4 linked regions of the Diceros bicornis minor genome follow. The protein of the gene in region 1 interacts with the protein of each later gene in a biochemical or structural test. Links are inferred from orthologs where the notes say so. Each region holds a gene or a part of one and is shown on either strand. Other genes may lie near its edges. The genes, in order: RPS6KA1, MAST1, ARHGEF12 and SNTB1.

Evidence for each region.
Region 2: the proteins of RPS6KA1 (region 1) and MAST1 interact in a test that uses a peptide from one of them, tested with the Homo sapiens proteins (2 studies listed by BioGRID and IntAct, with this or other methods). The link is inferred for Diceros bicornis minor from reciprocal best matches to the Homo sapiens genes RPS6KA1 and MAST1.
Region 3: the proteins of RPS6KA1 (region 1) and ARHGEF12 interact in a test that uses a peptide from one of them, tested with the Homo sapiens proteins (2 studies listed by BioGRID and IntAct, with this or other methods). The link is inferred for Diceros bicornis minor from reciprocal best matches to the Homo sapiens genes RPS6KA1 and ARHGEF12.
Region 4: the proteins of RPS6KA1 (region 1) and SNTB1 interact in a test that uses a peptide from one of them, tested with the Homo sapiens proteins (2 studies listed by BioGRID and IntAct, with this or other methods). The link is inferred for Diceros bicornis minor from reciprocal best matches to the Homo sapiens genes RPS6KA1 and SNTB1.

What each region holds. Positions count from the first base shown.
Region 1 is NC_080752.1:42,391,173-42,398,276, reverse strand, and holds the start of RPS6KA1 (ribosomal protein S6 kinase alpha-1), read right to left. Parts: upstream 3,016-7,104; 5' UTR 2,897-3,015; coding exon 2,762-2,896; intron 1,897-2,761; coding exon 1,780-1,896; intron 1,514-1,779; coding exon 1,432-1,513; intron 1-1,431. UniProt on the Homo sapiens protein: Serine/threonine-protein kinase that acts downstream of ERK (MAPK1/ERK2 and MAPK3/ERK1) signaling and mediates mitogenic and stress-induced activation of the transcription factors CREB1, ETV1/ER81 and NR4A1/NUR77, regulates translation through RPS6 and EIF4B phosphorylation, and mediates cellular proliferation, survival, and differentiation by modulating mTOR signaling and repressing pro-apoptotic function of BAD and DAPK1.
Region 2 is NC_080769.1:4,532,788-4,539,853, reverse strand, and holds the start of MAST1 (microtubule-associated serine/threonine-protein kinase 1), read left to right. Parts: upstream 1-4,054; 5' UTR 4,055-4,100; coding exon 4,101-4,183; intron 4,184-5,820; coding exon 5,821-5,909; intron 5,910-6,373; coding exon 6,374-6,449; intron 6,450-7,066. UniProt on the Homo sapiens protein: Microtubule-associated protein essential for correct brain development. Appears to link the dystrophin/utrophin network with microtubule filaments via the syntrophins. Phosphorylation of DMD or UTRN may modulate their affinities for associated proteins.
Region 3 is NC_080746.1:16,732,442-16,739,289, reverse strand, and holds the start of ARHGEF12 (rho guanine nucleotide exchange factor 12), read left to right. Parts: upstream 1-3,835; 5' UTR 3,836-4,754; coding exon 4,755-4,786; intron 4,787-6,848. UniProt on the Homo sapiens protein: May play a role in the regulation of RhoA GTPase by guanine nucleotide-binding alpha-12 (GNA12) and alpha-13 (GNA13). Acts as guanine nucleotide exchange factor (GEF) for RhoA GTPase and may act as GTPase-activating protein (GAP) for GNA12 and GNA13.
Region 4 is NC_080760.1:36,701,950-36,709,956, forward strand, and holds the start of SNTB1 (beta-1-syntrophin), read right to left. Parts: upstream 3,013-8,007; 5' UTR 2,980-3,012; intron 2,806-2,979; 5' UTR 2,581-2,805; coding exon 2,013-2,580; intron 1-2,012. UniProt on the Homo sapiens protein: Adapter protein that binds to and probably organizes the subcellular localization of a variety of membrane proteins. May link various receptors to the actin cytoskeleton and the dystrophin glycoprotein complex.

The sequences.
Region 1 (7,104 bases):
CCCATTTCCAGTCTGGGGGCTGGTGAGAACAGTCACTTGGGGAGCTAGTTAGAAAGGCAGATTCCCTGGGCCTAAAAATCAGACTCATGGCACCTCCCACATACTTAATTTTTTTTAAGAATAAAAGTCCCTAGGCAATTCTGATCATCAGCACGTTCTTCTTTGACTCAATTCAGGCCTCACCTCCTCCAAGAAGTCTTCCTTAACCTGCCAAGCTGAGTCACGGCCCTCTCTCCTACCACGCTGTGCTTCCCCCTGCAGAGTACCTTTCACCCTCTATTTTAATTTTTTATTTCTCTCACCAGCCATGGCAGGGACCATGCTGGAGTTAACTATTCCAGTCACTGTTTCCTAAATACACCTTACATTTTCAAACCGTCCCTATGCTTTTGCTTAGGTAAACAGTTCCTCCTTCCTGGGGTACCCTTCCACCATTTTCAATCTGGAAAGCTCCTAATGCATCCTTCAAGGAACAGTTCAAATGGCTACTCCTTATGTGAGCCTGCTCGCTGTGAGGCTGCCACCCACCCTCCCCGGGGCTCCTGGGTCCCAAGTGCCGACTGCACAGCCTCTCAGACTCCCAGGGTCTGCTCAGCCTCTCCCGAACAGCCTGGGAGCCCTTCACAGCAGGGACCAAGCCTTTTCATCTTTCTTCTCCCCCGTGGCTCCCACCATCCCTCCTGAGGAATGACTATCACCCCTATCAGGCCAGCCTTGGGGCACCAAAGCTACATTACCCCCACAGATAGCCCTTCATGGGCCATATGACCCCTAATGTCCCCAAAGCCAACCCTTCTGATTCTACCCACCTCACCCCAGCTAGGGCCCACTCCACTTGGTAAGTGGTCGCACTGGTTCCCAGGCTGGTCAAAGAGTCCCTGCCCAGCCCAAAGCCCACTACCAATCACCCTCATGCCCTTTGTAAGTACTAGAATTCTAGACCTGGGCTCGGGCTCCCTTCTGAACCTCTCTGCCATCCATCTCCGTGGCAATGCCTTGACTCACCCTCTCCTACCCACCCAGCTGCTTCCCCGAGCTCCCTGCCTCTTCCCTCCTGCCCTTCTCCACCCTGAGAGGTCTCCCTCAGGCTCTTCTAGCACTGTGAAGCAACTCTGCTGACAGAAGGCCTCTGCCCAACCAATCTGATGCCTCATATTTGAAGGCCTCACCATAAACACACTGCACTCATCCCACCTCCCTCTAGACATTCACCTTCAGCTACGGTCATTGGCACCTGGCTTGCAGGATCCTGTCTTTGCGATCAGTTGGGGTGGGGGGTAAGGGGCGGCTGAGAACAGGCCTGTTTTTCTACCCAGCGCTCCTGGGGATAGAGCGATCTCCTCCATCAGACCCAGGGCCCTTGAGAGCTGGGCTGTCTCCTCAATCCCGTACCCAGCCTGGGCTCTGCATTGGGAGGTGTCCTCCACTCACCTTTCAGCGTTGCCTTCTTTAGTACCTTCATGGCATACAGGTGCCCACTGTCAGGCCGGGTGACCTTCCGCACCAGGAAGACCTGAAAAGGCAGCCAGGAAAAAGCAGAGGAGAAGCTGGGGATGGGGCTGAGGCCATCAGCTCCCATCCTCCAGATCCCACGCTGACCTCTAACTTCCCTGAGCCCCAAGTTGACCTTTTGCCCTCCTTGGGTACCAAGGTGACCTCTCATCCTTCTCTCAGATCCATCAACCCTTGCCCTCTGATCCTTTGAGCCCCAACGTGACTCCTTACCCCCACCTCTGACACAACCAGTGCTGCCCTCCCAGCTGTGGGCTCAAGACTCACTTTGCCAAAGGATCCCTGGCCCAGAACCTTGAGCAGCTCAAAATGGGATGGGTCGGCCTTCTCAGAGCCAGCCTTGACATGGTGCGTGATGGAGATCTCCTTGAGGATGCCCTCATCCTGATGGAGGGATAGAGATGGTGGGCACAGTTCTCCCATCCAGGCCAGAATTGGGCATGTCCCCCCATCCAAGTCCACTCCCACTGGACCTCAGCAGACTGGGCCCTCCAGGCCCAACCAGACAGCTACCCTGACAGAGCCAGACTCTGGGTTCATCAAGACAAAAGGGCCTCAAAGGCCGGGGAGGGTCAAACTACCAAGATGCCAGGTCAGGTGAGGCACTGCTCCTATTGCTTCTGCTGCTCTGGCCTGGTCAGGCCCAAAGAGATGCCCAGGCAAGCCGGGCTGAGCCAACCCCAGGCTCTGGCTGAGGCCCACAGACCTGCCCCAGGTCCTCCCTGTGGGGCACCCCTCCCCCTGCTGCAAAGATTTTGGTTTTGCCACAATAGGAAGTAGGGTTTGTTCTCACACTGGGGAGGCAGAGTTGGGCTTTTGCTCCTGGTCAGGATGGATGATCGGATCCCTCTGGTCAGAAGAACAGGGCTGAGATGCATAAGGACCCAAGAGTCACCTGAGACTCCCCACCAACCCAGTAAGTGCCAGTTTGGGGCAAGTAGGAAGCTAAGGCCAGAGGCTCCACGCCGCCACCCTCTGAAACTTCCTTCATACAAGTCTACTAGAAACCCCTTGCCAGGGCCTAGTTGTTCTAGGACCCCTGTGCTCTCCCTCCAATCTGCCAAGATTGCCCCAGAGCCCTGGTTCCCTCCTCACTTCCCAGGGAAGCAAGTCTGGGCAGAGTCCAGTCACCCAGCAGGGCCAAGCCTGGGCTAAGAGAGCCCAAAGCCAGCTGAGGCCAACCTGGCTGCCCAGACACCTGCTCCAAGGGCCACAGCCAGGCCAGGACCAGACATCTGGACGCACTCACCGAGTCCCGCCTGGGGCCAGAGCCAGGGCCAGGGGCAGGCAGAGAGGTCTGGCTGGTCCTGGGCCGCTGCTTCCTGGGTAGCCAGGGGAGCAGGGCCCAGAGCCGCAGACGGGGCGGCTTGGGATCCTGCTCCATCCGCCCGGCAGGGCCAAGGCACCATGGCAGGAGCAGGCAGCGTCCTGGGCTGCCGCGGAGGTGGCCAGGCCCAAGGCGGATGTGCAGGGTGAAGGCGGGGGTTGGGCCAGGCTCAGGGCCGCCAATCACTCAGGGCCTGTGGTTTCCCAGCTCCAGGCCTACACCCTCACCACGTTCCCTTCCTCTCTCTTCCCCCCTCCCCATTGCCTGAGGGCTGCCCTCTGGCCCTCCCCCTCATCTTCCCTGTGGGCCTGCAAAGGGAAAGCCCCAGGACAACCCAGCTGCTAAGGAGTAGATGGGTACCCAACAGGCAGAGACAGGCACCTAATATGTAGAGGCAGATAAAGAGGGATATCCAACAGGCAGAGGCAGGCCCCCAACAGGTAAAGACAGATGAAGGCAGGCATCCAACAGGCAGAGGTAGGAGGAACACATATCCAACAGGTGGAAACAGATGGGGACATGTATCCAACAAGTGGAGGCAGGAGGGGACTCACACCCAACAGGCAGAGGTAGACAGAGACTCACACCTAACATGCAGAGGCAGATGGGGACACATATCCAACAGGCAAAGATAGATGGGGACATGGACCCAACAGGCAGAGACAGATGGGGACCCAATAGGCACAGGCAGATGCGGGCTTGCATCCAACAGGTGGACAGATGGGGACACACACTCAACAGGTGGAGACAGAAGGGGACATGACCCAACAGGCACTCAACATGTCACATGTACCCAACAGGTGAAGACAGGCACTCATCAAGTGGAGACAGAGACAGGCACTCAACAACAGAGGCAGGTGGGCAGCAGACAGAGACAGCTAGAGTCCGTGAGGCCCAAGTAGATGGACAGACACCCAGGGCAGCCACACAGGCAGGAAAGACACACAGATACATAGAAAATCAGACCCTGGACTCAAGGGCAGAGCTCCAGGTTCTTGCTGGTCTGCCTCAGGGTGGGGAAAGAGGTGAGAGGGAATCACTTGCAAACCCCCAGCAGTTGAGAGAACAGCCCAGTCTTTGTGGCAGACCCATCTCTGAGGCCTTCCATTTCTCTGGGATTTTCTTCCCACGCCAGGGCCTGAGGAGGGCCCAGGACTAGGACAGTGGGCTGAGAAGGACATCTCCTGAGTGCAATCTGATGGCTTTCACTCTGATATAAATATCCCAAAAGCTGTTACCCTCATTTCAGGAACAGGAAACTGAGGCCCAGAGGACAGTGACTCACCCAGGCTCAAAGGGAACCAGTGGCAGAGCCGGCTTGAACCCAAGTCCTTCCCCTGGTTACCGCCTGGCCTGGGGTCAGCAGGACTCAAGTGCCAGGAAAGGGTGGGCAGGTAAGTGAGCCAGAGCCATGTCCTGCCCATCCAAGCCCACCCCCTCCCTCAGTACCAGGGTCAGTCTGGGGACTTCCCATTCCAGGTCTTGACCCTCAGAGACACAGCCCCATCTTCAGGGGACCCTGAATAGCCACAACAGCTGCAGCCACCAAAAGCTGCAGGCTAATCAAGCCCCTGAGTGTAACCCCGGGCAGGACACGCAGGAAGCCTGGCTCAGAGAGGGACTGAGGTGGGCCAAAGCCACACAGCAACCCCTGCCCACCCCACCCTGAGCTCTGAGCCTCCACCTATCTGTCTGCCTCTGACTGAAAACACTCCCTGGGGACAAAGGCAGTCATCCGGAAACCCCAGGGGACAGAGCCACCCCTAAACCCCTTCCTTGCCCAGAGTCATGGTGACAGACACCACTGGAGGCAGGCCAACCCTCTGCTCACCTTTCTGAGACAGGGAAGTGAGTCTCTCTCAACCCTGGGGAAATCTGCCGGGGTCTGCATGGTGGGGCTCAAGCCGGTGGCCAGAGGGCCCCGTTACTCCCCTTACTTCTGCTTTTTCAGCCTTCCCGGCCCAGAAGGCAGGGTCGCTGACCCCCTCCTTCTCACTTCCCCCTCTGCAGGGAGGAGGGACAAAGATGGGTCAGGCTCCCCTGCTGAGGAAGGGACACCGCAGACCCCAAGCCCATGACTCCAGAGGGGGCCCAGGGACACACCCTTCCTCATCTCCTCTGATCCTAAAGAGAGAAGACCAGAACCCAGAAAGAAGTCACAAGGCGATGAGGCGGTGACACAGTGGGCATCCCAACACCTGCAAAGATTCCCTGAGAGAATGTGGGGATGTCAGCAAGTAAGCAAGGCCACAGTCTCTGACTGCCCCAGCCCAAAGTGTAGACACTCCTTCCCCTGTAGTGACCTTCCCGTAGCTGGGCCCACCCAAAATGGCAGCCCACAGAGCAGGCACCACCACACCCAGCCCTACCCCGAAGAAGCCTGCCAGTCCAGGGCCCTGGGATGGGCAAGGGGGAAGAAGGCCCTAGCAAGGACCTCACAGAGGACTGAGGAGGAGCAGGTAGCCATGGGACAGGGGTTGACCAGGCCCAGCCCCCTTCCACGTGGTCTTGCCATATCATTCACACCCGTACACCACAGGAACTGACACACACACAAATACACACAGGCTGATGATCGGAAACCATTTCCACAGACATCCTCTATGTGGAAACACACGCCCCCACGTACACATGGACTTCCCCTTCATGTCCTCACAGGGCCTCCAATAACAGACTGATGATGGTCTGCCGGGGGTTGTGAAAGATGCCTCCTTAGACTGAGGCCTATTATTGCACCCCAGCTTCTTCAGTCAGGGGTGTGGAGGCTGGGGCAGCCCTTGGAGCCCCAAAGCTCTCTGGTCCAGCGCCAGCTGAACCTCCAACCCTCAAGTCCTTCAGAAGCAAAGGAAGACTCTGTGGCTAGCAGGGTACAGGAAGGGGCAACAGGAAGGAAACAGTCTCAGAGCTGCCTTCGCTGAAGGGTATGTGCAGGGCCTGTGAGGCCTCTGGTGGCAGTGGTGGGGGAGGACAGATATCAGACCACATCCCTTGGTCCCTTGCCCCATTCCCCCCATAGATACTTCCTCTTATTTACTTCCTCCCACAAGGCAGCTGGGAGAGAAGCCCAGAGCCCCCCAGCCTGATCCCTGGTCCGTAGGGTCCCCACCCTGGGCCTCCCTCTACCAGCTGCAGCCCAAACCCACCTGCCAACCTCCAGCCCTAACGGACACCAACAGCCCCTTCTCCAGCTGGCAGCATCCGCAGGGCCTCCCAGGCGCTGCCCCCTCTGGTGGGGCAGATGTCCCCAGACGCGTCTCCCAGCACGCCTCTGGGCAGGTGAGGAGGGGTCCACAGTTCCCAAGCATCCTTGACGGGGAAGCTGGCCTCAGGCACTAGGTTAGGACTGGCATGGAGTGGCAGCAAGAAGTGTGCCTCCTAATAATTGAGCATTTATTGCACGAGGCCATTCTTTCCTTCAACCTTTGCTGGTGTGCATTCTGCTAGGCTCTATGTCTTAGCTCCAAGGGAGGTGCTGTCATCCCATTTCAGAGATGAGGAAACTAGACTCAGAGAGAAAGTGACTTGCCCAAGGCCATGTGGCTAGAAAGGGGGAAAACTAAGAGCAAAATCAAAGTCTGTTTGCTTCCAAAGCTTACACTCTCAAGCACTGCATTATCACCCTCTCAGCAAGGCTGGCCAGCCTGCCTCCCCTCTGGACATCACTCACAGCTACTGGGCCCCTGCTCTGTCCCCAGGCCAGGAGCCAGACACTAGGAGGCGCACATGTTAAGGCAGACTGGGGCCCTGTCCTTAGGCAGCTCTTGAAAATAAATACACGATAACAAAACACAACTGTCCCCAGACAGAGCTGCAGTCAAGGTGCTAAGGGTGCCCAGAGCCGGTAACTATCTGCCTGGGGTGAGGGCTGGGAAGACCTTCCAGGGCAGAGGCAGTCCAGCTGGACCCTGAGGATGAACAGGACTTGGCCAGGCAGAAAGGAGGAAAAAAGACACTCCATGTAGAGAGAGACCAGCGTGAACAAGAGGCTTGAGGCCAAGAGGGCAGGGCGGGAAGTCAAGAACTGGCTACCCACTAGCTGAGTGCTCCCAGGCCAATCTCTTTCCCTGTCTGAGCCTCAGTTTCCTCCTCTGTAAGATAGAGGTTAAAATGAGATGTTTCACTCTAAGAAGGTTGTTTCTGGAAGCAAAATGGGCCACAGAGACAAAGGGACATTGTAAACAGAACTTCTTCCTGGATTAGATGGACAGTCTTACTGCTTCGGGGTCTCTGCAGGGCAGGCTGAAGGGACAGAGCCCAGCCACAGG
Region 2 (7,066 bases), on another chromosome or scaffold:
CCCGGCCCTGGGTGGAGAAGAAGGGGTCGGCGCCCTGGGGCGGAGCCCAGCAGGGGGCGGGAGAACTTGAGCCAGGGTCGGTCCGGCGCCCCCTCCGTTGGCCTCGGGACGCTACCCGCGGGGAACGCGGTGGCCGCGCGTCCCGCCGCGCTGGGGACCCCGCCCCTCAGGCGCCGCCCGGGCATCCAGGGAGCTGGCAGAGGGGGTGCAGCCTAGCCCTCCCCCTCGAGGATAGCCTGAGGGGCTCCTGGCCCACCGGAGGGGGAGGGGGCTGGGGCCGAAGTCATCGCCCTGGCGCCCCGCCAGACTGGGGGCGAGGGGGCGCAGAGCAAAGTTATTGCCCCAGGGCTCGCGCCCCTCGGGGCTGCGGCGCCAGCAGCCGCCGTAAACATGTTTGTGCGGCAGCCTGGCCCCTCACCACCCCAGGAGCCCCTTTCCGAGGCGTGGGGACCCCCTGCGACCTGCATGCACCTGCCTGGACACCAGGATTCCTTCCACTGCTCTAATTGGACAGACACCTGGGCAGCCTCCTTCCTCACTCTTCTTTCCACCCCCCTCCACTACAACACCCCCCCCCAACCCCGCGCGCGATCCTCAAGTCCAGCCCAGCTTGTGGGTGGGCGGGAGCGATTTTTAGCTCCTTGCAGCCTTAGAAGATGCTGGTCTCCAGGCTGCGCAGGCGCGGGAGGCATGGGTCCACTGCACGGAGTGGGATAGTGAGGATTGTTTTGGAGTGTGGGGAAGGCGGGACAAATCCTGGCGTCAGGAACTCCCACCTCCGAGATAGGTGGGGATTCTGAAGCTGAGAAGGGCCCTCTTCTGTCTTCGGCGTGCGCTTCTAAGGATTAATACGAGGGTTTGGTGTTGCCCCCAAAGTGACCCCAGAGGGGAAACTGATCAAAACTTCACCCCGAGGCCAGCCTGGGGTCTCGTCCTTCTGAGCCTCTTTGGAGCCTAGCCCCTCGCTAGGTAATCTGGAGGAGTTTAGATAAAGCCTAGCGTGGGCCCAGACTCAAGCTACATTCCTAGCCTGAAGCTTGGGAAAAGAAGGGTAGGATTCCAGCCCGAACTCAGGGTCCCGTCTAATTCAACATCTTTGAAGATGGAGACTAAGGGGGGCTGATCTGTCAGTGCAGCAGGAAAAATCGGAGTCAGACGGCAGGAAGGACTTTCCAGGCGTCTGGATGATGCTGGAGCCAGACCTGGGTTGGAAAACTAATTTGCTTTCAAACAGAGCCCAGATAGCCCCATCAGGGGCCTTGGGCTCTTCAGGTTTTCCCTGGCTTCCCTCTCCATCCCAGGGCTAGGTTAGGAGAAGGGGTTCTGAGAAAAGGGAGGGAGCTGCAGCAAAGCCAGGGCGAGTACGGAAGCAGTCAGATTGGGTCCGCGCCGTCGGGTCCCCGGGAAGGGGGCGGGGCCTGCATGGGGTGTGTCCCCGCCCTCCGGGCCGGCGCCGACTCCCATTGGCTCAGCGCCACGCGGGACTTCTGTCTTCCGCGCCAGACCCCGCCCCTAGCCCAGGACCCTCCCCCTCACCCACCCATCCTTCCTGCCCCAGGCGTCCTCCTGGCCGGGCTAACCCCGCCGGCGTCCTGCCTCTACCTCTTCCCTGGTGGCGGGGTTAACCACTTCGCTACCTGGATACACCCTCATGCACAGGTGCAACCCCTTAGGAGGTGTCCCACAATCGCGGAGCGCCCGAGGGTTCCTTGTGTGCAGTTGAGATCGCACATGTGGGACAGCATCCCGAGTTCGAATGCCCTGGCCGCAGCGCTGTCCATTAATCCCGGGGGGGCGGGGGGAGCAGAATCCGATGGGCAGAGCGGCTCTGCAGCTGGGGATGGAGGTGGCGTCTGTTTACACTGACGCCAAAGATCCAAATCCTCTACCGCTCCAGTATTGCTCCTTTCTTCAACCCTAGAATGTTTAGGGGCGCTGCAGATGGAACTAGGTTCGAGGACTTCGCCCGGTGGAGCTTAAAGGTCTCCCAGGGGCTCACCCTCGAAGGCCCAGTGTACCCGGGTCTGGAGTCCCAGGCTCCTTGGCCGGAAACTCCAGGTCTTTATTTCGCTTGGGCCATTGCGGTCGCGCAGCCCTGCCGGCTGGTCCAAGCTGAGGCTCATTCAAGCTGATCCTGCAAAGACAGGGGGAAATCCTGGTATGGATTTCCGGTCACCCCTGGCTTGGGAGGGCAGGGCTGCCTATCTGGACAGTGTGCCCTTTGACCCCGACCATATGTCTAACCTCTGGACATGGGAGTAAGAGGTCCCTCTGGCCCACCCTCTGTCATGCAGCATGTCCATCCATAATCATAATAACTCCTGTTCCTGTGCCCCAATATTTATTGAGCACTTACTATGTACTAGGCACCATGCTAAGTTGCTAGGCACCTGCATCATCTCACAGAATCCTCTAGGAGGCAGGGACTGTTGGAAGCGTTTTCCAAGGTTATAAGAGGCAAAGCTGAGATTTGGATCCAGCGCTTTCTGCTTTCAGCAGTCATAGAAGGGATCTAGAATATTCCTCATTTTCCCCTGGCTGGAGTCCCCACAAAAGGGCTTTTGAAACCCTCACCCAAATCTTCCCCCCTGCAGCCCTACCTACCTCAGCCTGTGGACACAGAACGGGCTGGAAGGTGGCGCCCCCTTTCCCTGTTGCTCTTGGAAAAGGGTTAGACCTCTGTAATTTCTGGTCCCTGTAGTGACTTCCTGTGTGCTTGAAAAACAGAACATGACCTGCTTCTGATGTGGACACAAAGTTAATACCTATCAATTATTATCAATGCCATTATGGAAAAAGATCACCCAGCTGCCACCTGATTCCCATTTCAAATCTCAGTTTTGAGTCACCCTAACTACCCCTCCCCCCAACTCTGTGAACCTGGCTGGGAGTGGAGTAGAACTGTTGGGGTATGGAGGAGTCATTCATTCATTCATTCATTCAACCTTGCATGCCTGAGCATGCCAAGTTCATTCCTGCCTCCAGCCCTTTGCAGTTTCCTCTACCTGAAATGCTCTCCCCAAAGATCTTCCCATGGCTGGCTCTTATTTATTTTTTTGATGAGGAAGATTGGCCCTGAGCTAATCTCTGTGCCAATCTTCCTCTATTTTGTATGCAGGGCACTGCCACAGCATGGCTTGATGAGCGGTGTGTAGGTCTGCGCCCGGGATCTGGGCCTGTGAACCCCAGGCTGCCGAAGCGGAGTGCAAGACCTTAACCACTACGCTGCCAGGGCAGCCCGCTGGCTCTTATTTTTCAGCAACCATCTTAAAAGTCACCTCCCCAGAGCAGCCCTCTCTGACCATCATGTCCCCCTCCTATCCATTTTCCATCACATCACCTTGCTTAATTTTATTCATGACGTTTATTACTGTCTAAAATTTTCTCCTTCACGTCTACACTCATATTATTTATTGTCTGCTTCTGTCCTCTAAATGCTAGTCCCCCAAAGGCAGGAGTTTTTATTTGTCTCATTCACTGCTGCATCCCCAGTGCTTAGCACAGGGCCTGGCATACAGTAGGTGCTCAAGAAATGTTTTTCAAGCAAAAACTCTTTGTTCATTTGCACAGACACACATTGAGACACCAACTCAGGAGTCCTATACGGGGCCCTGTGCTGGTCTCTGGGGTCGGGAGAGGAATCACCCTGGTATCCTCTCCCCCAAGGAGCCCGGTCCTCGGCGCATGGCCAAGAGTGCAGGTGACAATGCTGATGAGGGGCCTGTCACACCCCACTTCTGCACCTCCAGGGGCTGACAGGGCTTGCGGGTAGCAGCTGCTGGTCCACGCTGACCTCTATCCTTTTGCCCCTTTGCCTTCCAGAAGGATTTGCCCCTGCCGCGGAAAAGCAGCAGGTGAGCCTTGAGGCGAGATGCGCGCGGCTGACCGCCCCCTCTCCGGCCCGGGTGGGGGCGCAGGCGCGCGCGCGGGCGGGGCCAGGCGCCGGTGCACAGCAGCGCCCCCTCCCGGTGGGCGGCGGCCGCACGGCCCTCCCTCCCCCGCCCTCCCCTGCCCGCTGCGGCTCCAGCCTCCGCCCCGCGCGCTCGCTCCCCGCGCCGCCGCCGCTGCCGCACCTGCCACCATGTCGCCGCCGCCGGGTCATGTCTGACTCTCTCTGGACCGCGCTTTCCAATTTCTCGATGCCCTCCTTCCCTGGCGGCAGTATGTTCCGCCGCACCAAGAGGTAGACCCCCGATCCCTCAGACCCTGACCCGGCCCTCCCCCAAAAACCGCCCCTGCGGCGCTGCCACAGGGCGGGGCCCGGGATGCTGCACCCGGTCCAGCTGCGCCAGAGGTGCCCGCGCTGCGCCTTCCTGCCAGGGATGGGGCTGAACGGGGGGCGGTGTGGGCCGAGGCTGGGGGGACTGCAGGCTGGAAAGGACCGCCGCGGGGGGAGGGGGCTGCGCAGGGTGGGGGGTTGCGGCGCCTTTGTCTGCTAGTGCTGCGGGCTCCGCAGCCTGGTGGGGGTAGGGGAAGAAGGGGAGGGTGGGGGGCTTGGCACCCTCAGAACAATAGCCGCAGCCTGGCCTCCCCCCACCCCCATGCCGCGTGCTCCGGCCGCGCTAATATGCTCAGTCACTGCGGCGGGGGGTGAGGGAAATGGAGGGGCTGGGGGCTCCGTCCTCGGAAGCTGGGATCCTGAAGGGCAGAAAGAAAGGGGGGGCTTTTATCATAGCACAGACTCCCTCCCCCCCCCCGGAGAACACAGCCTCATACGGAAAATAGTGACACACAGCGTCACACAGGACATGATGTCACACACACATACACACACACCAGCCCTAGTGGCCCAGATACACCCGGGAGGCGCCACGCACACCCAGACATGCAGCAGCCATAGGTCAGAGGCGTGCACAGACGCGGGGGCACCCAGCGTCCCACACAGACGCGTAAACCCACAGGTAATGTGGTGCACAGCAGTAAGATGGCACATGCATGCTGACCCACACACACAGTTATGCCATCGAGAGGCACACAGACACGTGTGGCAATGACATCCATGCACCCAAGCAGTGTCACAACACAATATCATCTAAGCATGGCACATGCTGTGTCACACAGATGCCAGAATAAGCAGACACAGGAATTCTTGCAGAGATGGAGAGACACACAATGTCACACGTTATCACACACAAGACTCATCCAGGGAATGTCACACATGGTTGCATGCTCAGACATGCCTAGTGTCACAAGGTGTTAAATTCACACACAGTGGATGCCACTCGTGGACACACATGGTGAATGTCACACACAGACGCCAAGACAGGGTCTTGCACCGATGCAGAATGCCGCACTAAGACGCAGACATGTATAAAGAAATCATGCATCATGCACATGTTAGCGCACACAGTGGCACATCTCGTCATGGGCAAGTGGCACTACACACTGTGTCACATAGACACACAAAGGCACAGGTTGTGTCACATAAGAGGAACCCAAGGACTGTCACACATGATGTCACACTAGGTGTGTGGATACACACAGCGAGTGTCAGACGCAGACCCAAGACACACACTCAGTGTCTCCCATGGTGTCATATAGACAGCATGTCTATCACTTCATGACTGACAGTGTGCCCCACATGGTCACACATGATCCACACACACTGGTAGTCTCACACACACGTCACACGCACATCCCCTCCCATACACAGTCCTACTGAGGACTCCATCGCCTCCTCCTCTGAGCGGTCCTCCGGGGGCACCTCCAGGCACACACGGATGGGAGACATGCGGGGATCTGAGATGGGAGGGAGGCTGGTGGGCCCACAGACTCACTGGGCTGCGGCCCAGCTCGGCCCCCGCCTCGTCTTCCCCGCAGCTGCCGCACCAGTAACCGGAAAAGCCTCATCCTGACCAGTACTTCGCCCACGCTGCCGCGACCCCACTCCCCACTGCCGGGACACCTGGGTGAGACAGGGGTGGGTGTGGACCGGACTAGAGGAGGCGTGGCCACAGGCGGGGGACGTGGCCACGGGCAAGCGGTGTGTACATGCCACAGGTGGGGGGAGGGCCGAATCTGGAGACAGGAGGGCCCGGATTGGACGAGGGCGGGGCCAATCCTTGTGTGGGCGTGGTCAGCCCGCAGAGGGCTGGCATTGGCAGGCAGAGGCCCAGGATGGGGCAGAAAGGAGGAGCCATACCTGAGGGGCGGGGCCATCCCAGATGAAGGCCTGGAAGGGGGGTGGGCTGACTCAACAACCAAAACAGCTGAGAAACTAGGGGCCACAGCTAAGGGGGTGTGGCCAACTAATTTGAGTGGGACTAGACTAAAGAGGGGTAGGACTGCTGTTTGCAACCCGCTTTGGGGGTCAGGAGGTCTGATGGGATTGCCTCCCACCCCAGGCCTAAAGATCCCCCTCTTTCCGCCACAGGTAGCAGTCCCCTGGACAGCCCCCGCAACTTCTCCCCCAACACCCCTGCCCACTTCTCGTTTGCCTCCTCCCGAAGGTGAGTCCCTCTCCCCAGGGCCCCAGAACCCTGGCCGGACCCTCCCCACCCTCTGTCTGGGCCGCCATCTGTTCCTTTCCTAATTGCACCTGAGCCAGGGCCTGCGGGACCCGCAGAGTGCCCCAACGTCCCAGCGGGCGCAAGCGCCCAGCCTTAGGGACAGGGCCTATAAGAAGGCGGGGACAACCAGCTACCCGGAATCAGGAAAGGGGCAGGGCTTCCTTTGCCGCGGAGCGAAAGCGCGTGCGCTCTGGTCCCAGGGTCTTAGTCTCCCCTGCCTCGCACTCCCGACCAGCCGTTTCCATAGCAACAGGACAGGGGAGCGGAGATGAGGCGCGCAAGCGCAGACTGCACGGTGCCCATCGAGGGACTCTTGGTTCCCCACGTGGGGGAGGGCGCCTAGGGCTCTCTCTCGAGAGTCAAGAGGAGGAATCTCAGATTTCCCTCCGGAGGTCTCTGCGAGTTTCTGGAGTGTCCCTAAACGAATTTTCTGGGGGCCTTTGGCGAAATTGGAGGAGGCAGAGAGATTCCTCAAATGTTTTTTGCAGAAACTTCTGGGAGTCACCAGGGGTTGCCGCGGGCCTCTTTTTCTTTCAACTTTATTCATACTAAAAACG
Region 3 (6,848 bases), on another chromosome or scaffold:
ACCTAGGAAAAGCAAGAGTGTAAGCACAGAACAAGGGGATGGGAATCAAGAATTCCTGGGCTCTTTAACTAATTTTGCTACTCACTTGCTGGATCATTTGGGCAGGTCACTTGTTTACTCTTTGCCTCAATTTGAACCCTCTTGTGAATGAATGAAATACCCTGCTGGGTATTTCATAGAGACATTATGTGGCATTTTATTCATGGAGGTGTTTAATGTAGGGCTTTTATGAAAAAGTGAAGTATTTATTTATTTGTATATTTGTTGTTTATTTATTTATTTATGTTATTTAGATCTGTGGTGACTGATTAGCTCAGTTGGTAAGCAAGTGTATGGGGCTCTTGAAGTCAAGGCTGAAAGCAGGAAGTGTGAGCCCATCCTGTGGTGACTGGTAATCTTAACCTAATGAGTGGTCTTGAAAATGGATGTCATTGGCCAGGCATGACGGAGTGACTGGAACTGCATCAAGTCATCGTTGCTCTGGGAAAAGCAACTTTAAAGGCATGTTAACAGTGGGTCTTCTAAAATGACTGTCATTTGGTGAAAGAGTTTTGCTGGACATGGAAATAATCTGACAGTAGCATCTCCATCTCTATTTGTCTATGATCAGTATCCCTAAAATGCTAGTTAGCTTCCTCCTAACAAATCTGTGGTCAAAGTAGGATGCTGGGGAATGCTGATTTTAGCGAAAGCCTACTAAAAAAGTGGCTTGGTGCATGAGCTCAAAAAAAAAAAAAAGAAAAAGCTGGCTCTTGAATTTTGGCACAGTGTAACCTGTTCCATACCAGACAAATGAATAGGCTTAATCTGGTACCAATTCTTTTCTCCTTACTCTTCAGAAATGAAGGGATTGCAGATCTTGCTGTTTTGGGGTACTCTCATGGGAGTTTCTTTGAATTTTGAGAAACCTAAACAATGATAAGGGAAAGAGAATTCCTCATTTCAACTATTCTTGATGTCATAGCTAATAACTATGAAGGAAACTCTCTGAGAGAAAAATGTGAAATGAATATGCCTCAGCAGTTGAGATGCTGAGTTTTTACATCACAGGTAAATGAAGGGCTAATTCACATGTGGTGTGGTTGGACAAAATGCAGGACTCATTTGCATTTGGATTACTATGTAATAATTACTAACACTGCTCAAGAAGGATTTATATTTCAATAAGATTTGTACTAAATTTTATAAAAATAAACAACTTTTTCTCAACCTAGAGTCTGCGTTTATATCTTTGTTGTGGTTTTGCCAAGAAGTGGGGAAAAAAGTCTTTTGACCTGTAGAAATGTTGACCCATATTTATACTTATTGGTGAATTACCTCTTATCTGCTGCTTATCATCAACCATTCCTACCATTCTTTACTTTTTGGAGCAACACTCTACATACAGAAAACACTTTGCCAAAAGAGAGAGGAAGAACCTAATTTCTTTCTTATTTTGCCACCTGTGTGGGCAGTTGCCTTGAAAATGATGATGTTGAGTGGGCTCCATGAGGACACAGCCTTTGGCTCTCTTCAGAACTGTACTTCCAACACCTAGAACAGTGTTAGATGCAGAGTAGGTGCTCAGTAAGCATGTTGAAAGAATGGATGAGGGGAGGAGAATGTGGTTTAGAATAACCCTCCAATGGAAAACCTGCTCAAACAGCATGCACAATGGATTGTGTCATTTTTCTAGGCAAAAGACTAACGACCCTGGGGAGTGTGTACTACCTAGATTGGTGTGACTCTTCTGAAGGCGTTCTGTAGATAGAGCCCTTTAGAACAGTCTAGAGCTACCAACAGCTGTAAAGAGGCTTTCACAGACATTTTACCATTAGCGCTTTGTGGGTGAATATAGAGATTTTCATCATTAAGAAAAAATAGTTCTGGGCTTAATTAAATCCTTTGCTTACCATCTTCTGAAGCTTTCCCACAGCAAATGCCTTCTTTGCTCACAGCTAGAACTTTGGGTCTGTTTAAGTTTGGAAAGATCTTGAAAGCAGTCTGCCAAGAGGTTTTGTATGCAAGGAAGAGAAGGTGAATTAGGAAACTTGCCCAGTTTGTTTTATTTCTGAAGCTCAAGTAGTGAGGCATTCTTGAAGGGAAGTGGGGAACTCGTTTTTAAAATGCATAATTTGATGAGTCATTGGGTCCAATTAATTTGATACCTACACTGTAAAATTATTAGAATAGGGCAAAAAAGATATTTAGTATGTTTAAGAAAGATATACGTTTGGAGATAAGGTTTGCATTTTGGTCAGTGTATATAGATGGATGGAGCTCTTTCCAGTTATATGTAGAAAATACATAATTTCATTAAAAGAGTTTTCAGGATAGAATTATCACGTTAGGGTACACCAGCAGGTGGCAATGTGTCCTGGTCTGATCATTAGGAAAGTGGCTTGGAACCCTAATCTGCTTCTATTTTTTCCCAAAATAAACATTACAAAATTAGCTGGCTGTGCCCTGAACTTAAAAAATTCAAGCAATAAAGAGTCATCTTTGGCCTCTGTTTATCTTTTCCTTTTTTTACCCCGTTCTAACGTCAGCCTTAGCTCATGCATCTATTCAGGGATAATGATCCTTTCATGAACTGTTGTAGGTCGACTTTTAGAAACAGCATTGTTAAGAGGTAATTGTAACTGTTTCCGCTCGCCACATCCACTGACGACTAGATTTGCTTTGCCACTTGATTTCCACAAAAAGGCTGAAGACCACCAATACGGGTTTAAACTCAAAAGTCTGAAAATAGCTGGATAAAGGGACAGCCACTTTAGACCTTTAAGGGAGGAATGGAAGAACTAAATTGCGTGTTGTACTTAAATTGCTACAATACCGAATTATGCAATCATAAAACTACATAGATATCTAAATCTAGCTACATAGTAGGAAAAAAACAACGAAAGAATATTTGGGAACTCTTCAAAGAGAACTGTAATGCTGTTTACTGGATAAATACAGTATACTTTATTTTCTGCCTTTATTTCTTTCCACAGCAAGCTTGTTAGGTCGCTGTGGAAAGCACCATGTTTTCTCAATTTGGCAAATAATACCTTTCATTTTGCCAAGGCAGAAGCAGCTTAAAAGCAATATTATCCCAAGAAATCTTGGCTCCAATTCCCAAACTCTCTTTCTCCCCAGCCCTGCACACCCCCGTCCTCCAACCCTCCCTCGGCAGGCAGGACGCGTGCGTGGCGGCCCCTGTCCTGAGACGAGGCCAGCAGGTGCCCCAGGTGAGTGGCCAAGGCCAAAACCTCCCTTTGCTGGGGTTTGCTTCATAAGAGAGGGACAGTGTCCAGGCACCTGGACCTGAGCTCGCTTCCATCAGTCAGAAGCAGTCTAAACGTGTTAGCAGAAAATCGGAAGAACAAGTACATTCCCTCAAGGAGTAAAAGTTTCTAGGACAAGGGGGCGGGTGATGGCCAAAGAGCCTCTCAGCCTGAACACCTCGGGGTTGGGGGAGCGCTCTTTGGCGGTCTCCGGTTAAAGCTGAGTTAGCGCAAGCTAGGCTCCGAAGTACAGATACCCGGCATTCCCGGGGCCCCAGGGGCGACGGTGGGTTGCTGAGTTGGTGAGTGGGACTCCCGGGTACCGACTGTTCCCACCTCGTCCCGCAGAACTACTTTCTCGCTCCCCCACACAAGACTCCGGCGGAGGCGTCGGCGGGGGCGGCGGGAACTCGCGCGAGGCGAGCGGGGGCGGCGGGCCCCAGGCGGGAGGGCGGCGCGGCGGCCCTGCGCGCCGCGGAGGGATCCCGGGTGAGGCGGCTTCCCGAAGTCAGAGGGGAGGAGGCCGAAAAAGTCGACGGGGGAGGGGACGAGCGAGCTCGCGCTGGACACGGCCGGGGTCTGGAAGACAGAACCGGAACCGGAACCCGGGCGCACGCCTGCGAGTGTCGCGCGGCCCCCACCGCCGCCGGCCTCCCCCGCCCGCCGCGCGCGCTCCCGCGAGGGCCTCAGGACCCGGCGAGCCAGCCGTGCGCTCCCAGTCGCCGCCGCTGCCGCCGGCCTCCGGGGCCGGCACTTCCACGCCGGGCCGGACCGGAACCTCCCGCCCCTCGCGGGAACCGCCGCCCTCGGCGCGTCGGGGAGGAGCTGCCGCCGCCTCTCCCGACTGCGGAAGAGTCCGGGCCTCCGCAGGATGGGGAGCAGCCCGCGGCGCTGAGACCAGGTTCCTGTCACCTCTGGCTGCGGGACCCGCTCCGCCGGCACCCGCACCCGCCCCGCGCCTGGTGGGGGCGGCGAGGAAGACGAGAGGGCTTCCCCGGCCCGGGGACATGGAGCCGCGCGAGCCTGGCGCGGGACGGTCCGAGACGCGGCCGAGGCTGCGGCCACGAGCGGCCGGCAGTCCCAGATAGAGCGGAGACGAGAGGGCGGGACGTGCAGGCCCCGAGACTCCGGAGGAGGAGCCGACGCCAGCCCTGAGCTGGTCTCGCCCCAGCCCCGGAGGGATTCCGGGCCCCCTTCCCTGCGGTTCTCCGACTTCCCTCGGTGACGAAGTTTTCTCCCTGTGCCTTTTCGAGGATTGATCTCTAGAACTCGCCTTCTGGCAGACTTCCTCGGGTTGTTTGGGGAGATAACTTGTTTTGCTCCACCCCATATCCCCTTTCCTTGACTCCTTCCAATCGGACGTTCTAGATGACTGCATGGAGTTTTGAGTTGGACTTTTGTGTCCCTTACGGAGTCGGGCCTGATCCCAGAGCACTGGGGGTGGGGTGGAGGTGTTCCTGTAAAATGCAAGTTGGATAAAAGGAGGACCTCTCGCCAAGGGCCCCAATGAGTGGCACACAGTCTACTATCACCGACAGGTTGGTATGAAGCTCCCCCTGCGCTCAGCCTCCCTGGATTCGGCCGACCCAGCAGGAGAGTCAGTGATTGCCTTTGACCAGCGGCGTTGACAGGCACAGGAGAGAAGGTTGTTTCCGAGCTCTGCAATATGTCTAGGGTTGCTGCCGAGTTACCCGGTTGATTGAATTTGGAAATGTAGTTTTTTCTGGAGAGAAACTTTCCTCCAGATTCTCAGAGCAGGGATAGGTAAAACCATGATTGTGGTTTTCTGCCTGTAGTGTGCGTTAGGATTCTGTCCTTATTTTGGAACCAGAGGAAGGTCATTTGGGGTGAAGGTCAGTGCTCGAAGTCAGCTGGGGTGTTGGTGCATCCTCGGTTTTGATTCCTGTCCTGTTGTTTCTGGACACTGTTACTTTTTAGGAATTTCTGTTTGTGAATTTCATTCTGAGACTGTTGCATAATGATTTATGAACTTGATTTCCTTTAAGTAATTGACCTGCACAGTGTTTATTATCTAATAATTTTCCAGAATATTGAAATTACTAGTAAACCGCAGGCTTTTGCTGGGGGCAATATCAAGGAGCTAAAAAAAGGCGAAGAAAAATAATGGGGCTTAATTTTAATTATTGTATTTTTAGTGTTTCGTCTTCCAGAGACATTTGCATTTAAGGGATACAAACCCTAAGCGAATTATGTAGTACAAGTGTGACAGGTGGATTTGTTGAGTTCTGTGAGCCTTTTATAGTAGTTCTTATTCTATGTTGCCTGGTGTTGTTTGGTTAATTGAGGTAGGCCATTTGTGGTTTAAGTGGAGTTCCCTTACTCTTAAGAGTTATTCTTTGGAATATTAGGTTAAGCAATAGAAGCATATTAAGTCCTTTACTACGTTTTATTTCTCAATTTAATTATGACATTGTATCCTGGTCCCAAATTTCAGTCACCTTTTTTTTTTGTCATGTTTCAAACTGTTACATCATTAAAAAAAAGATCAAATAACTGAATAAGGGGGCCAAAGAAGGCACTTTGATGAAAAGTGCAGCAATAGTGCTCCTGCAGAAAGTAGTTGAATTTCCTAATAAGAGTTTTACCCAATTGTAAGACTCATTTGTTGATTTTAAAAGGGCCAAATTCCATTATCATACCATAACAGCGACTCCAGAAACAGAACTTCCTCTTCCTGTTGATGCTTTCTAGTGTCACGTGGATGTTCACCTAAAAGATTCCATTAAATATTTAAACTATTTATATTTATTCTTTGTTCGTGTATTTTTTTTAAAATACTTTTTAATTTTCAACTTTGAGAGTACACGTAACATGATTAGCAACAATGCTCATCTTGATTTTTTCTAGTTATTCCCATTCCTTTTTCTTTTGGGGTGTTTTGCTTCTGAGAAATCACTTTCATGGGTGTGTGGGTAATTGTTTCCGTGGTTCATTCAATTCTTACCCTCTCTGCTGAGCCTTGGACAAAAAGTCTTATTAAAGTAGTGTTGGTAGTTTTTATTGTGATGCGAGGGATGTTAAATGTTGTGGAAGCAGAATGTTGGGTCATCAGCTCATTCCACATGAAAATCACCTAAAAGCCCCCAAGTAATGACTGTTCTTCCCCTTTGCTTCTCAGAGATTTTCTTCCTCTTTCCATTATCTTGGAAATAAAATCTTGAGATGTGTCCTTTTTATGACTTAGATAAAATATGAATATACAAGAAGCATGCAATTATTGAACGCCTGTTCTTTGCTAGGCACAAAGGATTGAAAGATGAGTATTCTAAGAATAAGATGAATCTGCAGATTGGTTTGAGTATTAATATGCTTGAATTAGTTCAGGTGCTGCCTGATTTTATATATTTTTTAGAAGAAAAAAGAACTTTAAAAGCCACTTAATTTAAAATGCACTACTGAGACAGTATGGATGTCTGTTTCGTAGGAATGTGCTACTAGTTTGGTTTTTTACAAGAATTATTCTTATGTAACCATTACTTTTTCATTAAACATAAATTATTCCATAAATATCAAGCATCCATTTGCTTTTTAGGAGAGTGGTTGTCTCTGATTTGAATATATGTTGGGGTGAAATCCAGA
Region 4 (8,007 bases), on another chromosome or scaffold:
ACACTTCGCCTCAGAATATGAGACACTCTTTTGAATGGGGCCGATGCTTGCTTCTCTTAATAGCAGTGGATTTCTGAAAACTCAGGATGGGGATAAGGTAAGCCCAGGTGCTTCATGTCTAGGAGGCCCACAGGTCTTTCCCAGATGTCCTGCTTACAACACATGACAACGTGTTGTGAGAATGACATGTTAGACGTTTACAAAACTCACTTTTCAGTTGCTGCATCAATACTCACATAACTGCTTGATTTTATTTTTCTTTAAGTTTATTTTCAACTGCAGGGAGTCATCTTTTCTTCCTCTTTTTTGGGTGAGAGATATTTTTCACCTCTTTGCTAAGTCATTATTCATCAAATTGAAACCAAGGAGAAGAAGGGAAAAAAGGCACATAATGAAGGGCAGTGCCTGAAATAAAAATGACCTGCCTTTCATCCCCCTGATATTTTACAGTAAATATTGAAGCTGTGCAGGTGCCCAGTAGTTTATAGTCCAAACTACACTTGCTCCAGATCCCACCTGCCCCTTGTCACACAATCCAACACACACTTGAGTCAAAAAAACTTTTTTATGTTTACTTATATTAATCATAAGCCAAAGCAAATAGCTTGCCACTTTCTGGATCCAGGGTAGCAATTAAATATGAAGACATCGCAAATCCTCTAGACCAATAAGGGGGAGAAAATCCTCTGTATTCTAGGCCAGGAGGTGGGCCATCATGTACCAGACAGTTGCATCAGCTGTCATATGTAACAAAGCTGGTTTCCCAACTTTGAATTTTCTCAGTTTCACAGCCAGCACAACTGTTGAGCAGGAAATTGATTTAAGTCCTTAATTTAGGGACCTAAATCAACCACCAGTTTACAAGGGTCTCTGTCGAAACATTGTTTCAATGGCTATGGGTTCATTTATTCATTCACTCAGCATGCATGTCACTGAGCACCTAAGCTCAATGGAGAGGACCCATAAGCAAATAAAAGACCCCAGAACTCAGTCTACAGTTAGAGGGAAGATGAAATAATTACATGATATTAGTGCTGACAGAGTTTTGTACAAAGTGAGCTAAGGGGCAGAGAGACAGATATCAAGAGAGAAATACAGCTGCAGTGGAAAGAAGGCATTACCCACAACTTCCCCACTGACCTTCTCCGGAAATAACCACACATAACCACGAGAGGGTACAAACGATGCTACCTATTCTACTCACACGCAGTAATTAGGGGATTGGGGACATCAGATCTCAAGAGAGTAGTTTCTAAGATGCCTCACACACAGGGAAACTGTTTACAAATGCAAAGTTGTTTCCACACCACTCGGGAAGAATCCCCGGAAAACTCTGGCAGAGAAATCACTTCACCAGCCCTCCACCCAGCGCAACCTGGAATCCAGACTGACGGGCCTAAAACCTGGCAGCAGAAGTGAACGTCTGCATAAACTTCCCAGCCCGTGGCACAACTCCCCAGCCATCACCCCAGCTTCCAATCTGAAAGGAGGGAAGTCTTGAAGGGTGGTCGGAGCTTTAGCCTTCAAACACTGCCAGCGCTCTCCGGCCCCTTTATGTTTCAACCCTTTTAGTTGAGTTGCCCGGGCTTCTTTGGAGAAAATTATGCCAAAGCAGAAAACTATCCGAGTTGCGGTTACTCAGTGTGCTCGCTTCGTAACGTGGACGTCTACTCTTCATTTTCAGTTCCACTTCCCAGCCCCTACACGACACTTGGATTATCCGCGGATAAAAATGAGACAACGTGCACTAAGCATGCAAACCGTGCTTGGCACATAGGAGCTCAAGAATCCCTGCTCGCCTAGCCTTTTCATACACCCTACTGGATCAAAGCCAGTAACGACTCTAAGTGGGGACAAGTTGCCCCCAGGTGGGTAAAAGTTGTCAAAACTCCAGGCCGCCCCCACTCCCGGCCCCCTGGGGTGTGAGGCACGTGGGTGAGTGTGAGAGTGCGGCGGGAGGGCGAGAGGGTGTGTGCGCGCCCGGCGCGGCCCGCGCGGCATTAACCCCTTACCTTCCAGCAGCACTTCCTTGCCAGCGCGCTTCAGCGCCTGCACCGCCTCGTCGTGGGTGGCGTCCCGCAGGTCGGCTCCGTTCACCGACAGGATGGCGTCGCCCACGTACAGGGCTTGGGTCTGATCGGCCGCCAGCCCCTTGAAGATCTTGCTGATAAGGATGGGCATCTTGTTCTCCTTGCCCCCCTTGATGCTGATGCCCAGCCCGCCCAGCTCCTGCTTCAGCACCTTCACGCCACGCTTCTGGTTTGAGATGGACTCGGGCACCTGCTCCGGGAGGTCGGTGAAGGCGGTGCGGACCCCGGCGGGCGAGTCCGGGGGCTGCGCGCCGCCCGCGCCCGGGTGCCCGCTGCCGGCGCCCTTGCAGAACGAGCCATTGGTGGCGGTCCCGATGCCGTTGTACGCCGCAGCGCCCTCCTCGCAGCTCAAAACCAGGGCGTCCTCGCTCAAGTTCACCAGAACTTTGTGCCAGCGATCCCGCACCAAAACTTCCAGCAGCCCGCTCCGCTGCGCGCGGCCGCCTCCCCCGCCGACCGGCCCTGCCGCCGCCGCCGCCGCTACCGCCATCTTTCCGGCATTCTTAAAATGCCATGTGATTGCAAAAGGGGGGAAAAGTGGGGAAGGGTTGCGCGGGGAGGACGCGGGCCCTGGGGGAGCGAGGAGCGCGCGCCCCGCGGGCAGGAGGCAGGACGTGGGACTCCACTCCGGGAGTTCGCAGACGCGCTCGGCGCGAGTTGGCAGCCGCAGCCAAGCCGGTTCCCCCTCGCCTGATCCTGGGCGGGGTGGAGCAACCTAAAAGAAGAAGGAGAGACAGAAACAGGGGACGGGGAAAAAAAAAAAAGCCAGCTGCCAGTTGCAAAACCCCAAACCAAGGGGAGCCGCGGAAGAGCTAAGCGCCGGGGAGAGTCGGTAGGAGGAGGCACGTCGCGGGGAAGGGCGGGGACCCGCCACCCGGCGGCCGCTCACCTGTTCCAGCCGCCGCAGCCTCGGCTGTCACACGCCGCACGCCGCCCCAGACCCACCCCGCCTCCCTCCTCCGAGCGCACGGCGCTGCAGGGACAGCTTCCCAGCGCCTTCTCTCCACCCCGCCCCAGCCCTCTCGTCTCGACTCTCCCTTTTCCGCGGGCGCCCGCACCTCACCTTTGCCTGGTCTGTGTGTCCTGCCTTGATCCCCTCACTCGATGCTCCTGATCCCCCATCCCTTTCATACCCTCCACTGAATTGTCCCTCAGTCCTAACCCCCAACTGTATCTAGATCCAGGTCTCCTCACTACCAAGGCTTGGCTTCTCCCGCTGAGTTCTTACCTGTCTCTCCTTTCCGCGAGGACTCTCAGGTAGACGCAGACGGAGGCCCTGGGTTCTCTGAGAGTCAAGAGGGAAGGCTGTCCCAAGAACCCAGAATGAAACGTCAGCATAACCCGAGTGCCCGAAACTTCCTGTCTTCAAATGCAAGACATCTTTCTGCGGGGTCTCTGGAGAGGTGTCTCTGCTGGCCGGGGTATTCAGCAGCTCACTGCCTGGCCCACACCCCAGGGACAAATGTTCTTCCAGCTCCAACACATTATGTGCTCTATGCTTCTGACCTTTTTTCCCCAATGCCACACCAAATGCTTCCTGGGACTTTCTCTTTCTTCCCAAGATCTGATATAGGAAGTCCACTATTTAAGAACTCAGTTACATGGATTGTATCTCAAAAGTTCCTTTACAAGTTATGTATCGGGAGTTCAAGCTGCATTTTTCCAGGGCAACAATATTATAATCGTTGGTTACCTTCCCAGGCCAATCCGGAAATGCCAACCTAACCCATGTCATAGCTGAACCTCCCACGGTCCACCTGGTCCTTGAACCTCTCAATTTCTCCCCCCACCCTGAGCAGGTCTCATGGACCTCTCTAAGTGTTTCAGCCTTCTCATTTACCTCCCCTTTCCATCTCTCTCTTTCTTCTCTCCAAAAACAAAACAAAACAAAACTCACAAATCTTCGAATTCTTAGAGGTAAACCCAATCCAGCAAGGTGTCAGGAAGAAGGAAATCTTATTTGAACACATTCCCACTGATGTGTATCATCTCTGAGAGATCTCTAACCCTTCCAGAATGACTCACACTTTTAACTGAGAATGCTTAAAATGCAGACAAATCCCTAAAGGGTGGTTGGTGTTCCAGGTAGGGTCACAGAATAAAATGAAAATATTTGGACTTTTTTTTTTTTTGTCAAGGAAAAGTCACTGCTGGCAGGTCAGCAGGAACTCTTGGATTAATGCTTCTGCTTGTATCATCCTCCTTTCCTATATTTTTAACCCACTAGTTTTCCAAAAGCTCTTTGTTCTTTCACATAAAGTTACCCACGGCAGGGACAGCAGCCGCTGTGTGCAGGACTGGACAGGGAGCTGATACAGGTGGCACCACTGTGGGGTGGGAAAACCAGCTGGGACTGCCCTCTGCTTTAAGGACTGAGGACTCGGGCATATGGCTCATCAGGAAAATCAGAGCCTGAGTGTCTGCATTCTAACCCAAGCACACTAAGGTAGAGATAAGCACCAGAAAACCAGTGTGTTGATTTGGAAATCAAAACAGATCTGCCCCTGGGCCAAAATCCTCCATTCACATCATGCCTGCATCTTGCTTCTGTGGTCAAGCAATGTGGGAGGCCCAGGCATAACTGGAAGTAATTTATCGATTGGCCATGAGATATTGCAGGCTCTGGGATGCGGATTTCTCAGAATCTCTGTGATAAGCACATTTTTTCTGTGTAAGCAAACCTACACAAGAAGGAGTAGGTTGCTTGTTGAAAATGACATCAGAAGGAGGAGAAACAAATATTTAACATCATTAGGCCCGAGGCATGCATGCTAGCCAGAGATGACTTTGCCAATGAAATTATAATAAAGCCCCTATTCTAAGTGCTATACATATATTAACTTAATTCCTCCAGCAATTCTTGGGGATACTTACTGTTATCATCAGTCCCATCTCACAGGTGAAAAAATAGAGATACAGGTTTAATAACTTGCCCTGGTCATGTAGCTAGTGAATGGAAGAGTCGAGATTTGACGCCAGTTTTGAAGAGTTTGGACTTTTAACTATTGTCCTACACTCTCCTGAACATACTCAGAACCTATAAGCTAAAGTGTTCATCTTACACCGAGGCCAGCCTTTCCACTGGGAGGGAAGCCCAGAGAGTGAAGACCCTTCCCCTAGACGGCACTAGAAGTGTAGAGCCAGCCCTTGCCTCTGGCCTCTCCTTCTTTCCAAGGTTAGAGAACACTCTGCTCTCCCCTAATGGACACAATTTTTTTCTTTAGACACATTAATATGTTTAAACAGGTGACTGTTGTGGTCTTGCTGGCCTAGAGACCCTGTCTTATCCCTCAGAGAACTCCGCATATCTGACCTCTGATTGGTAACGCTGACTCTCAGAGGTAAACCTTACTTACCTCCTTTCTTAGTTCTTGGTGGGAATTGGGACTACTGCACTATAGCCCCTTAACACTTACAATAGGACAGATCATATTTTCCTAGGGCTCTCCTTTTAAAGAATGGTCACTGGAAAGGACCAAAAAGACTTGCAGCTTCCTCATTTTATAAGTGTGGCATTTCAAACCCAGAGTAGAGCAATGACGAACCCAAGGCCACATAGTGAGTTTGTGGCAAAGTTCTCAACTGGGTCATGGTGACTACCAGTCCAATTTCAGTATTCTAGCCTTTCCACCTGAAGGGGCCCTTACTTTTTTTTTTTTTTTTTTTAACCACATTTCTTTTGCTTAGCTCTGTCTCTGGTTCTGTTTCCTCCTTCTGTCCTACACTTTTGACTTCCGTTTCCTACTCAGCCAAAACTGGGATCCTCCTGTGTGTGCCCCTTTCCTGTGGGAGGTGCATTTCCCTACAGAGGTTTGGGTGGACTTAAAACTACAAGAGCCGATCACACAGTTCTCAGCTCCACAGAGCTGAGGATACGTGAGTGAGCCGCCACATGCGACAGAAGGGGCAGTGTCCATCCATTCATTCCACAGCTTTGTTGTGCACCTACCGTGTCTCAGGCACTGTTCTAGGTGCTGGGGTATGGGAGCGGACAAACTGGCAAAAATGTGCTCTGTGATGCTTCCATTGTAATGGATGGTAGGTTGAGGTGGAGAAAAACTGTGAACATAAGATACTTTGTGGAGAAGTAAGTACTAGGAAGAAAATAAAACAGAGTCATAGGGTCAAGAGTAACTAGGGGCAAGGGACATCTGGAGGTGGCAGCTGTTAAGGAAAGCCTCTGTGAGAAGGTAAATTTTGGGCTGAGACATGGATGATAAGAAGATGAGAGTCTTGCAAAGATCTAGGGAAGAGGGTTCCAGGAAGAAGGAAGAGCCAGTGCAAAGCACTTAAGAGAGGACCAAGCTTGTCTAGTTCAAGGGACCAAAAAGGGGTCGCCGTGGCTGGGGCAGCCCATGGGAGGCAGAGAGAGGTAGGAGGGGAGATCAGAGAGATAGGCTGGACCAAATCACAAGGCGCAGCCGTGGAGGATTACAACACAGACCATTCTCCTTGTCCTCTTTGAGCTTCAACAACCATACATTTTGGATTGTCAGGGGCAGTCTTGTTTCAATATTACTTCCTATTAGCTACTGAGTAAACTTCTACTGGTTAGAACACATGCTCCAATATTTAGATTTGGAAAATATGAGGATTGTATTTTTGGTACTGTTCCCTAAAGAGTAGGTTGAGCATCTTTAGGGGGATTAGTCCATATACAAGATGGAGAGTGGATACAAGGGCAATAGTGAAGAAGAGAAAAATGGAAAGCTCCTTGATATCTGGGGGAGAATGAGAGAACAGAAGAAGAGAGGAGCAAGAGGGGGGCTTGAAATGCAAAACTCCTAAGATGAGGCATACCTATGTGAATATGTATTGACTAAACGCTTATTGAGTAGCTACTCTTCTAAGTAACTGAGGCAGGTGCTGGGGGCAGGCCCATCCAAAGATGCAAAGGTAATTAAGACAGGAAGACAGATATGTACACAAAGAGCACATGGCGACAATGTGGCGGCTGCAATGCTGAGCGTGAAATGCGTGGAGGTAGCCAGCCTTTAATTGCAAATCATAATGTTGGGTTAGCGATTCTGATTTGAAAGATGAAGCCCTGAGACAGGAGGATGGCACAGGAACAGAGGCTGAGCAGCTGCTTCTCTGGGGTTTCCCACTTGGCTAACAGGTGCATCATCAATTTTAAGTGGGTTTGCAAACAACTTCTATTGCAAGTACGTGGCATTTGCCTGGGCGGATCCTTGGTAAAGTAGGTAGACTACCACCCAGACTATCAGCCATCCAGTCAGTCGGGTGAGAGTTCTTTGAGTGCTCACTGTGCTTAGAATGTTGTAGTGGGGAGCAGGACTAGCCCAAGGCAGAATTTAAAGTACTTAGATGTTTATCTTCCACCTTCTCTTATAGAGTTCCACTTCTTTTACTTCCCTTCCATAACTACTGTTGTTGAAACAAACCTTACACCAGTCTTTTAGTATCTATGATATAAATTTAAGTGACTTTTCCTAAGGGATTATGCATTTGATCCTTTTTTAAAACTGTACAGTGATAGGTTAGATCCCATATTAAAGACATGAACAAAATGACTCTGAAATCCTAGTAGGCAAGATATCCCACCACATACTAGAAACTTCAGCAAGTTGGCCTTAGCGGGCCTAGAAGATGTCCTGGTGTGATGGTGAAGAGGAATAAGAAATCAGTTTCTTCCATACACATCTTTAAAATATGGTAGCAAGAAAATGAAAAGTTAAGGATGATCTTGAAAAATGTTGAAAGCAGAATTGATAGGGTCTGGCACTCTATTTGGCTTTGGGGAGCAAAGGAAAAGATTGATTTTGGGGAGAGAAATTCATAACTATATGCCAACTTTTGAATTGCTTCTATGCATAATTAAACTAGAACTATACAAAAATAGCCCCGATTAATTGCAAAACTTGGAAGCCCAGAGGCAGAAGACACATTTATAGGC